3 linked regions of the Danio rerio genome follow. The main gene of each other region encodes a partner of the protein of the gene in region 2 in a complex. Links are inferred from orthologs where the notes say so. Each region holds a gene or a part of one and is shown on either strand. Other genes may lie near its edges.

The links.
Region 1: the proteins of flna (region 2) and cftr are in contact, whole or in part, in a crystal structure (PDB 3ISW), measured with the Homo sapiens proteins. The link is inferred for Danio rerio from reciprocal best matches to the Homo sapiens genes FLNA and CFTR. Residues at the interface, in NP_001104026.1 of Homo sapiens: Thr2263, Gly2267, Ala2268, Gly2269, Gly2270, Leu2271, Ala2272, Ile2273, Ala2274, Val2275, Glu2276, Gly2277, Pro2278, Ser2279, Lys2280, Ala2281, Ile2283, Ser2284, Phe2285, Asp2287, Phe2311; in NP_000483.3 of Homo sapiens: Ser10, Val11, Val12, Ser13, Lys14, Leu15, Phe16, Phe17, Ser18, Trp19, Thr20.
Region 3: the proteins of flna (region 2) and itgb2 are in contact, whole or in part, in a crystal structure (PDB 2JF1), measured with the Homo sapiens proteins. The link is inferred for Danio rerio from reciprocal best matches to the Homo sapiens genes FLNA and ITGB2. Residues at the interface, in NP_001104026.1 of Homo sapiens: Val2241, Thr2263, Ala2266, Gly2267, Ala2268, Gly2269, Gly2270, Leu2271, Ala2272, Ile2273, Ala2274, Val2275, Glu2276, Gly2277, Pro2278, Ser2279, Lys2280, Ala2281, Ile2283, Phe2285, Phe2311; in NP_000202.3 of Homo sapiens: Leu753, Phe754, Lys755, Ser756, Ala757, Thr758, Thr759, Thr760, Val761, Met762, Asn763.

Annotation. Positions count from the first base shown.
Region 1 is NC_133193.1:22,075,759-22,079,416, forward strand, and holds part of cftr (cystic fibrosis transmembrane conductance regulator), read left to right. Parts: intron 1-187; coding exon 188-434; intron 435-3,209; coding exon 3,210-3,302; intron 3,303-3,654; coding exon 3,655-3,658. UniProt on the Homo sapiens protein: Epithelial ion channel that plays an important role in the regulation of epithelial ion and water transport and fluid homeostasis. Mediates the transport of chloride ions across the cell membrane.
Region 2 is NC_133198.1:22,657,025-22,661,257, reverse strand, and holds the start of flna (filamin-A), read right to left. Parts: upstream 2,932-4,233; 5' UTR 2,678-2,931; intron 1-2,677. UniProt on the Homo sapiens protein: Promotes orthogonal branching of actin filaments and links actin filaments to membrane glycoproteins. Anchors various transmembrane proteins to the actin cytoskeleton and serves as a scaffold for a wide range of cytoplasmic signaling proteins.
Region 3 is NC_133184.1:46,761,674-46,764,499, reverse strand, and holds the end of itgb2 (integrin beta-2), read left to right. Parts: intron 1-1,641; coding exon 1,642-1,805; intron 1,806-1,897; coding exon 1,898-1,966; 3' UTR 1,967-2,234; downstream 2,235-2,826.

The sequences.
Region 1 (3,658 bases), on a different chromosome or scaffold from region 2:
CTCTGTAGTATTACATTCACGGCAGCACACGGTGTGCCTTTGTGTTTTTGTTATCAGCTCAGTCTCAGAGAATCAATGTGCTGTTGTTTTTAGCTATTTGATATCTCATGACACAGTCTCCAAATATCCTTCCCATCTGGCAATCCCCTTCAGCTTGTCATTCTTTTTTCCCGTAAACTGTTTGTAGGGATGAGGTGAAGCTGACCAGGAAGATCGGCTCGCTGCGCTACTTCTACAGCTCGGCGTACTTTTTCTCGGCCATCTTTGTGATTGTGGCTGCAGTGGTGCCTCATGCTCTGAGTCGGGGAATCAACCTGCGCCGCATTTTCACCACTCTCTCCTACTGTATGGTGCTGCGGATGACAGTCACCCGACAGCTGCCCGGCTCCATCCAGATGTGGTACGACACCATGCGGCTCATCTGGAAGATTGAAGTGAGTCTAAACGCTCTTTTGCTTTGAGAGCTTTTAAAGTCCCTGTGAAAACAAAATAATGAGTTTTAATGTTAGTAACAGCATGTTAGTCTTAAGGATGTCTATAAGCTAGTGTGTTACAAAACAGCAACACAATTCACATTTAGAAGATGTAACAATTCAAAGTTTGCAGTTTGTCACTTCCGCTTAAATGGATCAGCAATTTTTTGACGTCCCCTTATACTTTAGTTTCTCATCAAATCTTCTGACCAATCAAACACTCTCTAGTATTGGACATTTTTGCCCCATTCACGATCTTTTTGCTATGTTGCACATTTGTTGGCAGAGCTGTGATATAAATAAATAAAACCTTTTTTTTTTCATATTTTGGTTCAAATAACATCACACTAGTGAAGGGAAGTTCATTTTACCAACTTAGATGAATGAGATGAACAAAGGTTTTTTTTTTGAGTGATTTTACATATTTAGTTCACTTTGCCAAAATCTGATCGAAATTAAAATGTCACAGGTTGCACAGCTTACAAACACATCTACAACTAGCCCTAATCACACTACAAATTACAGTCAGACATGATTGAGAAAATAGTTATTCATTGTTTACCTGGGTCTTTTGTCTATGATTAGCTCAGCTCGCCTCTTCTGACAAGTCTTCAAGTTTGAGTTGTTTGTTCACGTGGCACAAACAATCACATGTTAGCTTAAATGATGCACACAGTCTTAGCCGATAGCCGATAGAAATGATTAGTTCACTTTTGAGTCTTCAGATTTTTGAGTCATTCGTTCATCATATGACAGCATGTAAAGAGACGAATGACTCAAACTGAGGACTTGAGAGATAAACGGATCGTTTCTTTTTCTGAAAGTATCTAGATGCAGACTTGGATTTGCAAGCTGAGACTGCATATCTCAGAAATGCAGTGTCAGTCACAAAACACTCAGTGGAGCTAGTGGCATCACTGTGAGGAGTAGGGTTAGGTGTGCACATTAAAACCATTGCATGCAGCTCAGCTTCCAACTGCACCCAGTCTGCATCCAGATCCCTCTCCATATGATTGGTTTGCTGTATGTCAGTCTTTCTCATGATGAACGAATGACTCAAACTTGATAGAAGATTTGAAGGAACTAATCTTGCAAATGAACGAATCACTCCCTGAGAGGACTCATTGCTCTCGAGTCACATTTAAGATTAGTTTAAAATGAACAAATCGTTAAAGAACGACCCATCACTGCATCACACACTGTGTTTCGGCTAAGATATTAAACAGAGGTTCTGACTCTCTGTGGTTATTAAACATCCCATTGGCACTTCTCATAAAGTATAGGGGCGTAAACAGGGTGCGATTTACAGGTGGGTTTGGGGGATCTGACCCCCGTAATTAACACTTGATTTACCCCAAAAGGACATCAAAACAAGATTTACAATAGGGGTGTGTGTGTGTGTGGGGGGGGGGGGGGGGGGGGTATTAATAGTTAATAAATAGTTTCCTCTGATCTGTATCATAAAAAATAATAATAATTAAAAATGGGGCAACACGGTGGCGCAGTGGGTAGCGCTGTCGCCTCACAGCAAGAAGGTTGCTGCTTCAAGCCTCTCAATGTGTGTGAATGAGTATGTATGGATGTTTCCCAGTGATGGGTTGCAGCTGGAATGGCATCCGCTGTGTAAAACATATTATGATTAAGTTGGCGGTTCATTCCACTGTGACGACCCCAGATTAATAAAGGGACTAAGCCAAAATGAAAAGGAATGAATAATTAAAAATAATAGATAACTTACATGTACATTTGACCACCCCTATAATGGTTCATACCATTGCGAATGCCTGTTTGCTCCAAAATAAGGTATTCAGCCAGCAAATCAAGAGCACCAACAGACAGCGTGAGTGTTCACAAAACTTGTTGCTTGTAAAATCGGCTTTTGTACTGTAGGTGTCCATAAAACTAGAAGCATAGTTTGTGTTTTATTATACACTTGCTCACACATGGAAGTTATTCAGTAAAACTAAAAAATATGTGCAGGAATGCAAACTGTTTATTAAATATCACAAATGTCCCCGAGGACCAGTTGCTGTGTGGTGAGCGCACCTGTGGTTGTTGAATCATCATAGTGGATGCTGCACACTGGTAATTTAGTGGAGATACAATTCCCCCTCATTCATTTGTGTGCTTTGGGTAGATAACGTTATACATAGATGCACTGTATAAATGTTCAATAAATGTACTATATAAATGTACTTCACAGGACTTTAAACTAATGATTCCTTAATCAGTATAAACCCAGGATAAACAGAATCCGTTCCGTTTTTAAAGTGTCCCTGAAATCAAAATTAGTTTTTTTGGGGTGTTAGTATCAGAATGTTAGATTAAAGTTTACCTATAGTTCTGTGTACTGCAAAACAAAGATAAATATTTCATTTAGAGGATTTAAGCATTCAAAACTTTCAGTTTTTTTATTTCAGCTTCTTATCATATTTTCTGACCAATCAAGTGATCTATAGTATCTTAAGTGACCCACCCCCTACATGACGCGGCTGTAATAACATATTATATAAACACGTATTCACAAAACTCACCATTCATACAAGTTTTTACTTGTAATGTAATGTAATGTGTATTTATATAGCGCATTTATTGTGTATGGCCATACACCCAAAGCGCTTCACAATCATGAGGGGGTTTTTCCACACCACCACCAGTGTGCAGTGTACTTAATACAAACATGTCAATTGAGACTTGAAATTGACTATTTGTAACTTGTTCAACTTTTACTTCAAGGAATTTCTTAGTAAAGAAGAATACAAGTTAATGGAGTACGATCTCAGCATCACAGAGCTGGAGCTTCAAGATGTGACTGCTTCATGGGATGAGGTGCGCTTCAGCATTCACACACGAAAAAAAAACATTTAAATTGAATTATACTGAGGCTCAAACACATTGCTTTTCACTTTCGAAAGGCAACTAATTGCTTTGCCCTTTGTTGACTGTTTTTTGTGTATTCCAATAGAATTGCATGTTTTATTAAACTAACGACCAATGAAGTCTGAGGTCAATGATTAACTCTAAATTACTGGAACTACATTTGGTGATGTTTTCAATTGTAAATGTGACTTGGCTATTCATTTTCAGCACTCTTGGAGAACAGAGCTGTGTGAATGCATTTGTTGTTTGTATGTGTGCGGTGCGGTGCGGTGTAAGGAGATGTGACGCTGTGTTTCTTTAGGGTC
Region 2 (4,233 bases):
AAAATCAATATCATGACGGAATATTCACGACTAGTTCTTGCAATATATAACCCAAAACCACTAATGCACTATTGTTTCTCAAATCTCATGTGAAATTATATTGTCCACAACCCAGTCCAACTGTAAATAGGCCAGTTGCTCAGAAACAAAGGAAGAACAAACAAGCATTCAGAACATGCCAGTATCCTACAGCTGTGCCCATGTTGTGTTCTGGCGTCATCTGCAGGAGATGTGAAGCATGACATGCTGGTTTTACGTTTTTTTACTTAAAGATAGCTTAGCTAGTAAAAATTGAAGAGCATTTCAAGTTCCGTTTATCATCAGATGAACAGAAATCGTCTGAATTAGCAGGTTCTGTAGTTTATTTTATTTTAAACGAATAACACTAAAAAACAGAAGTGGCAAACCTAACTAATAAGTAAAAAAAGCAGTCACTGAGGAATCAGGAGACCCCAATCTGATATTGATGAAACAGATTTGGCAATCAAATAGTCAATCAATAAACAAGGATTTACATCACATAAACCAATGGTGACATGGAAAATAAAATCCAAATTAATAGATGGAGAGAGTGCTAAATAAGGGTTATAAAAGGCAAAAAAGAGCACATATTTGGTGGGCTGGCCGCCCCCAAATCACAGAAGTCAGCCCCTGCTTTCCAGGAAGAGTCAGGGATGGTTTTACCCTATTCTTAATTACACAAAGGTTGCACAAAAAGTGTTTTTCTAATTTGCTTATTTTAGAAAAAAAATGTTCTAATATGTAGCAGCCAAATATAATAATATGTTAAGGTTTAAGACACATAGTTGAAAGGAACACTGAGCTAAACTCTCTAATCTTCCTTAAGACAGAAGACTACTAACTCACTGCATCTGACAACAGTGAATTTATCTGGATATCTGGGAGAAGGCAATTAGTTACATTTAAGTAGTTTTATATCATCAAAACATGATCTCTACATAAGAATATGTTTAACATTAAACATACGTTAGTGTATATGTTTTCAAACATGAGATAAAATTGAGATAATTGAAATAATTTAACTTTGAACACTGAGTTCATTTGAGGACAGATACTAGTCAGGATGGAGAAGTGATGTTGGCATGTGACACTTCAACTCAGTCACGCTCATGTGGTTTACCCACATACTGGCTGTTAACCGCAAAGGCTGAAGTGCATCTCATCTGCATCAGTGAAAAGCACAGATTACACTGAGCAGGAGCATGGCATGATGGGTACTTTTGTAAAAAAGAGTTTCATTCTTGTGCATCAACAGGATGTGGCTTTGCAAGTACTGCAGTATGTACAGAAATTAAATAAAAAATAGATGCTAAACTCTTTTGTATATTATTCAAAAAATTAAATTAATTATAAGACTGCAAGAGGTAAGATACTTTCCTTCTGTTTACGTGTAGCAATTAATTTAAGCATATACCTTAACTTCACATTTTGACCACTGTTGCCCTGGAAAAAAAGACAGTCTTTTGCGTATGGGCTGACTAAAAGTGGGGCATGTTGCCACATCATATTATATAATATTTTTTAATTACTCATCAAAAAAAATCCATCAATTTTACTCTTATCTAATTTTATCTACTTTTTAAATGATGGGTAAATAGCCATTTTATTAAGTGTAACAGATATATTTCTGCAAAAATGAAACAACACACTTATTTTCTGAACTGTCTTTTAAAAAAATAATGCAATAATTGATCGTACTAAATTTCATTATGTTTTTAATGATTAAATATTTCTTGCAGACAAATGGGGAAGGTGAAAGAAAACGACAACGTAAAGAGATGTAAAATTATCAATGTAACAATTACTAATATTACTGCAAAATCAATTTGAAGGCTAGTTTAGAACCATATTTATGAAATAAGTAGCTATACACATATCAAAAACTAGATTAAACAGACACTCAATTTGACATTTTACTCAAAACATATCAATTGTGACAACATACTCTCATTTTTTTTTTTAATAGTGCGCGATTTTACTGCAAAACCCAGTGTTACACATATCTTGTCATCCAGGTGAGGTCGCGATGGTCGCGATGTTGCATGCAAGCTTCTCCTTGATCATGGGGGGGCGCGCGCAACTGTAACATCAAAGGATGAAGACGCGCGGACCTTTCCATATTTTCCCTTATTTGGTGAGGAGGCCTAAATAAGATTACTAAGTGATGAAATCCTCCGCAGAGATTTAATGTCGTCAATGACAGCATAATATGCAGTATTAATTAAATACGTATACATTTTGGCATACAGACAAACCCAATAATGTCCATAAAAATGTATTTACGCCTACTGTATATTGTGTTATATAAAATATTGTTAGCTTGTTTTGTTTTATCTTAGTCTCATAGGTACTCAACAACAGGTTACTGGACTTAAAAGAGCCTACGCTGTACATGACATGCAGTTATTCAGCATATACTGCACGCGGAACACCCAAACCGCTACTTAAACATGCGCAGAACACAATACGTTATGTTTTGAAAGTTTGCGTCATTGTGATTTTTTAAATTTTTAACCCTTTTCAGTTTAGCTTTGACTGCAAAACCGAACAAAACGTAGGCTGCTCGTTACACCAGCACTTAATGCAAGACAAAACATGCCTCGCAGCTTTTAATAGAGGTTTGATTTGCAACTTTGATGAACAGACGTGAACTTACTTTTTGCTGCTTGTCTTGAAGTATACCTCTTACGTCGCTGTGTCTCTTCTGGGTTTGCGTGTGGCACGGGCAGCAGAGAGTGAACTTCACTGTCCCACAGAGCAGAAACCTCACTGCACGACCCTCCCGGACCGGACGAGTGTCCCTGGAGGAAAGGCTTGTTCGCTGAACTCGAGAAAAACACTAGAGACACCCCTTAGTCTTTTCTGCCTCCTTCTGTCCTCTGTGGTCTTAATGCGAGAACCTTAATTGGTAAAGTATCAAAGAGGGGGGTTTACTCTTCTGCTGGAGCTGACGTGATACCGGCGGCCGCGCCTTCGGATTGTAAAGGTATGATGTCACCCTGTTCTGTATCTGCTCCTCCATCTGCTGCTGCTGATGCCTGAACACGGCTGCTGCTCGACAAAGAGCTGCAGATATTAAACTAATAATATACATGCAATGTAGTTTTACATCGTCTAACAAAACAATTCCTACAGACTCTTTACTCTCTGTTGTCTTTTGTTTCTTTTTCCAGTTGCTTTTTTTCGTGAGTTGCGTTTTACTGTTTTACTTCCCAAAACCTGGGGAAGCTTTTCAAATGATGTTAGATTGAAACTTACAGCCTGTTTTCTGCCAGCTTGCCTATTGTTTAGATGGCAGCATTCAATGTTTTGGAATAACAGTGAATGCTGCCATCCAAACACACAGAGCAAGCAGACAGAGATGACTGAAAAGTGAACACTGGTGGCTTTCAAATAAACTCTGGCAGTATGACTGAACACAATACAGACCAAAGACATCTAAACAAACCAAAAGGATGCATAACAGGATGCAAGACGCAAATATAAAAAGAGAATGCTCATACTGTAAAACAATTATTGTTGCTTAAGCATATCAGAACTTTTAAAGTCATCTTAATTTTTCATCAGTCAAACTGTAGAATTAAAAATAGTTGAAACCCAGGGACGTTGCAACCAGGGGGACGGGAGGATACACCCCACTTACTTTTAGGGCCAGCTTTTGGATCTCATAAAACATTACTTTTTACAGTGTACCTGTTTTTTCATCATGATATTGAACAGCACAATATAATAAAGGTGTAGGAAATAGGGCTGCGCAATATATCGTTTCAGCATCAATATCGCAATGTGTGCATCCAGTCACATCGCAAGATATGCAATGTCTAGTCTGAATTATAGCTGACTATAGGAGCCAGAAAATTGTATTTAATTACTGTATTTATATGAAATTTGTATGATTTATGCACAAAAAATGTTTTTGTTAATTTTTTATCTTTTTACATTTCAGAGTGAAAACAAGATTATTTCACTTACCCCACTGGCAGATAATTTACCACAAAATAAAAAATAAAGTTCCACAAAAAATAAATTACCACAAATTTTCACTTATTTCTTCTGACGGTGAAAACTAAACATTTTGTTTTACTTGGTCTAAGAATTTTTTTGTGTTTTTGGACTAGAAACAAAGTAAGAAAAGCATTTTTTTGTTTTTTTTGTTTTGTGATTAATCAGTTTCTCACAGTATATCAGAATGCTGTTAGACTCCCAGAAAAC
Region 3 (2,826 bases), on a different chromosome or scaffold from region 2:
TTAATGAAAATGCAGTTGTTCATTGTTCATGTTAACTCACAGTGCATTAACTAATATTAACAAGCATGAATTTTAATTTAAAGGCATTAGCATATGTTAAAGTATGATTAATTATATGCTGTATAACTATTGATCATATTAAGTTTATGTTAGTAAATACATTAACCAATATTAGCTAATGAAACCTTATAGTAAATTGTGAGTTTTTATACAACAATACCATTTATAGTGACAAAATTATAAAAGCTGCAATTTTTGGAGCTTTAAAGGGGTGGTCCACAGTGTATTTTTAAGGTTAGGTTGCGTTTGTAAGATACAAGGGTGTGGTCATGTTTCATTTGTGGAAAATCAAGTTTTTTCGTATATATTACTTTTATTATATTCAGCTACTCAGCTAACATGAAAATGACTGTCATATTTCCTAGTTCCTCTGAAAGCTCGCCCTCAAGAGGCTCTGATTGGTCAGTTAACATAATGTGCTGTGATTTATGGATACTGTCAGTCAGAGTAGCTGTTAGTCATATCAGTTTGCACCTAAATCTGACAGAAAATGACACAGAGAACACAGCTGAACCACACGCCGGCTCTCTTAAAAATAAATTGTGACAAGTGTTTTTTATATATATTTGGAATATAAGCATGTGTAAGTAATATGAAGCATTCACATATCTTTTGCAAGTTGGTTATTTGAGATGTAGAATGCACGGAAAGTGGCCGCATAGAGACAATGAGAAAGACAAAGATTATGGGTGTTTACTGGGGTTTGGCAGATAAATATAAATTTGTAGCTAAATTGTTAACACTACCAAACAGCATTTCCTGTTGTTTACATCCTTGGTTTTGTCATTGCTACAACATACCTTTAACAATATAAAGTATGCATGTAACAGATCAATTTTAACAAATAAAAATACTTACAGATTGTGGCTCACAATCCACACCTTCGTCTATTATGGTTAAAGCTGTTCCTTCATTGAGGAGTTTTAGCCGAATCCAGCACTGAACTAAGAGATATTCTGGAAGCTATCCTTTGTCAAATGCTACCTATATATATTTTTTATAATTCTTTAGAACATAATAAAAATGAAACTGTAAGCACTTCTCTTTTTGTGTCGTGTCCTTTGGAAGTCCAAATAAAGAAACAGAAGAAGCTCTGTGGAAACAGCAGCGTATGGACGGCATTTTAGCTTTCTCTGCTACATTACAGCACCTCTGGCCACGCCCCTTTGCTGCTCAGGTTGTATACACATGGTGAATGTGCGTAATCTGAAGCATTTGTAATCTCAATAGCCCGGATGTATTTTTTGTATTCCCCAAACTTTTTTCACTGTAGGCTTTGCTAAGTTAACTCTGTAAAAGCCAATGTCTCCCTTTGCATTGAACTTTGAGCGTCTTACATTCAGAGATGTTGTTTATGTTCACGCAGCTACATTACACATCAACTAAAGTTTAAAATATGATATCATAGTGGACCACCCCTGTAAAGCATAAATGACAACTGTTTGCAACAACTTGAGGTTGAGTAAATACTTACAAAATTATTACTGTGATCATTAATTTTGGTTAAATATTGCTTTCTAATTTGTATCATGTTTGAAACTGTAAACGAAAAACTTTCTACCTGTACATTTCTCGTTACAGAATGTCCCGAGGGGCCAAACATTATAGCAATTGTAGGAGGATCTCTGGCTGGAGTGGCATTGATTGGTCTCCTGATGCTCCTCATCATCAAGGGTGTTTTGTATGCAAGCGACCTTAGAGAATGGAGGAGATTTGAAAAAGACAGAAAACACGAAAAGACTTCTGTAAGTTCCATTTCCTCATATATAAAAGCTATTCTGTCAAACTCATGCATGGCATTTAATTAAGCAGATGATGTTTTCCTCTTTGCAAACAGGGTACCAACCCATTATTCCAGAATGCCACAACCACTGTTCAAAACCCTACATTTTCTGGAGATTCATGAGAAAATTTTTAACAGATAAAGTATTATGCAATTTAAGATGCTTTTTAACATTTAAAGTTTGTGTGTTTGTCAAATCGTTTACATTTTAGAAGCTCTCTGTAAGTTAATACTGTATGTTTCAGAGTCCATCTATATTCAAATGTATGGAAATGATGTGATTGTTATCTAATGCCTGTGTATTGCATTTTACAGATTCTCTGTTATGAAACAAGCACATAATTAACATATGTTGGCTTTCCACATGATTAAAATAATAGACTTGAGAACTGATCATTTGCTTAGCTTTGCATGTTAACCTGGTTGTTGTTCTTTCAATGTTAATAACATCTAAATTATGTGTTCATGTGTAACTTATGCCTGTCAAGAATAAGTGTTTGTATCAACACAGGCTTATTGGCAATATGTGCCCAGGGCTACATTTTTGAGAAACGGGAAATATGTGCCTGGGGGTACATATATGACTGCATTTTGTGTGTAAAAGGAATGGCTGGTGTGACTGGTACCACGGTACACTGTAAAACCCAACAATCAACTTTATCAAATGAAATGGGTGTAGTTAACTCAGAATTTACTTAAAGTTAATTATATTCATTTTAAAAGAGTTTTGAACTCAGTGTTGAAGTTAAGCAGTTAATTAAATACCTCATTACTTTAACTTAAATGGAGTAAGTTCACAGTACTCATATAGATTAGTTTAACTCAAATGGTTTGTAGCAATCAGTTTCCTCAAACGGTTTGAGTTGCCTAACTTATTGAGTTTTACAGTTCTCAGTTGGTTTGAGTTTTCTTCATTTATTGGGTTTTATTAAGCTCAAATTGCTTCATTTATGCAAATGGATTAAGTTCACAGTACTCATTAG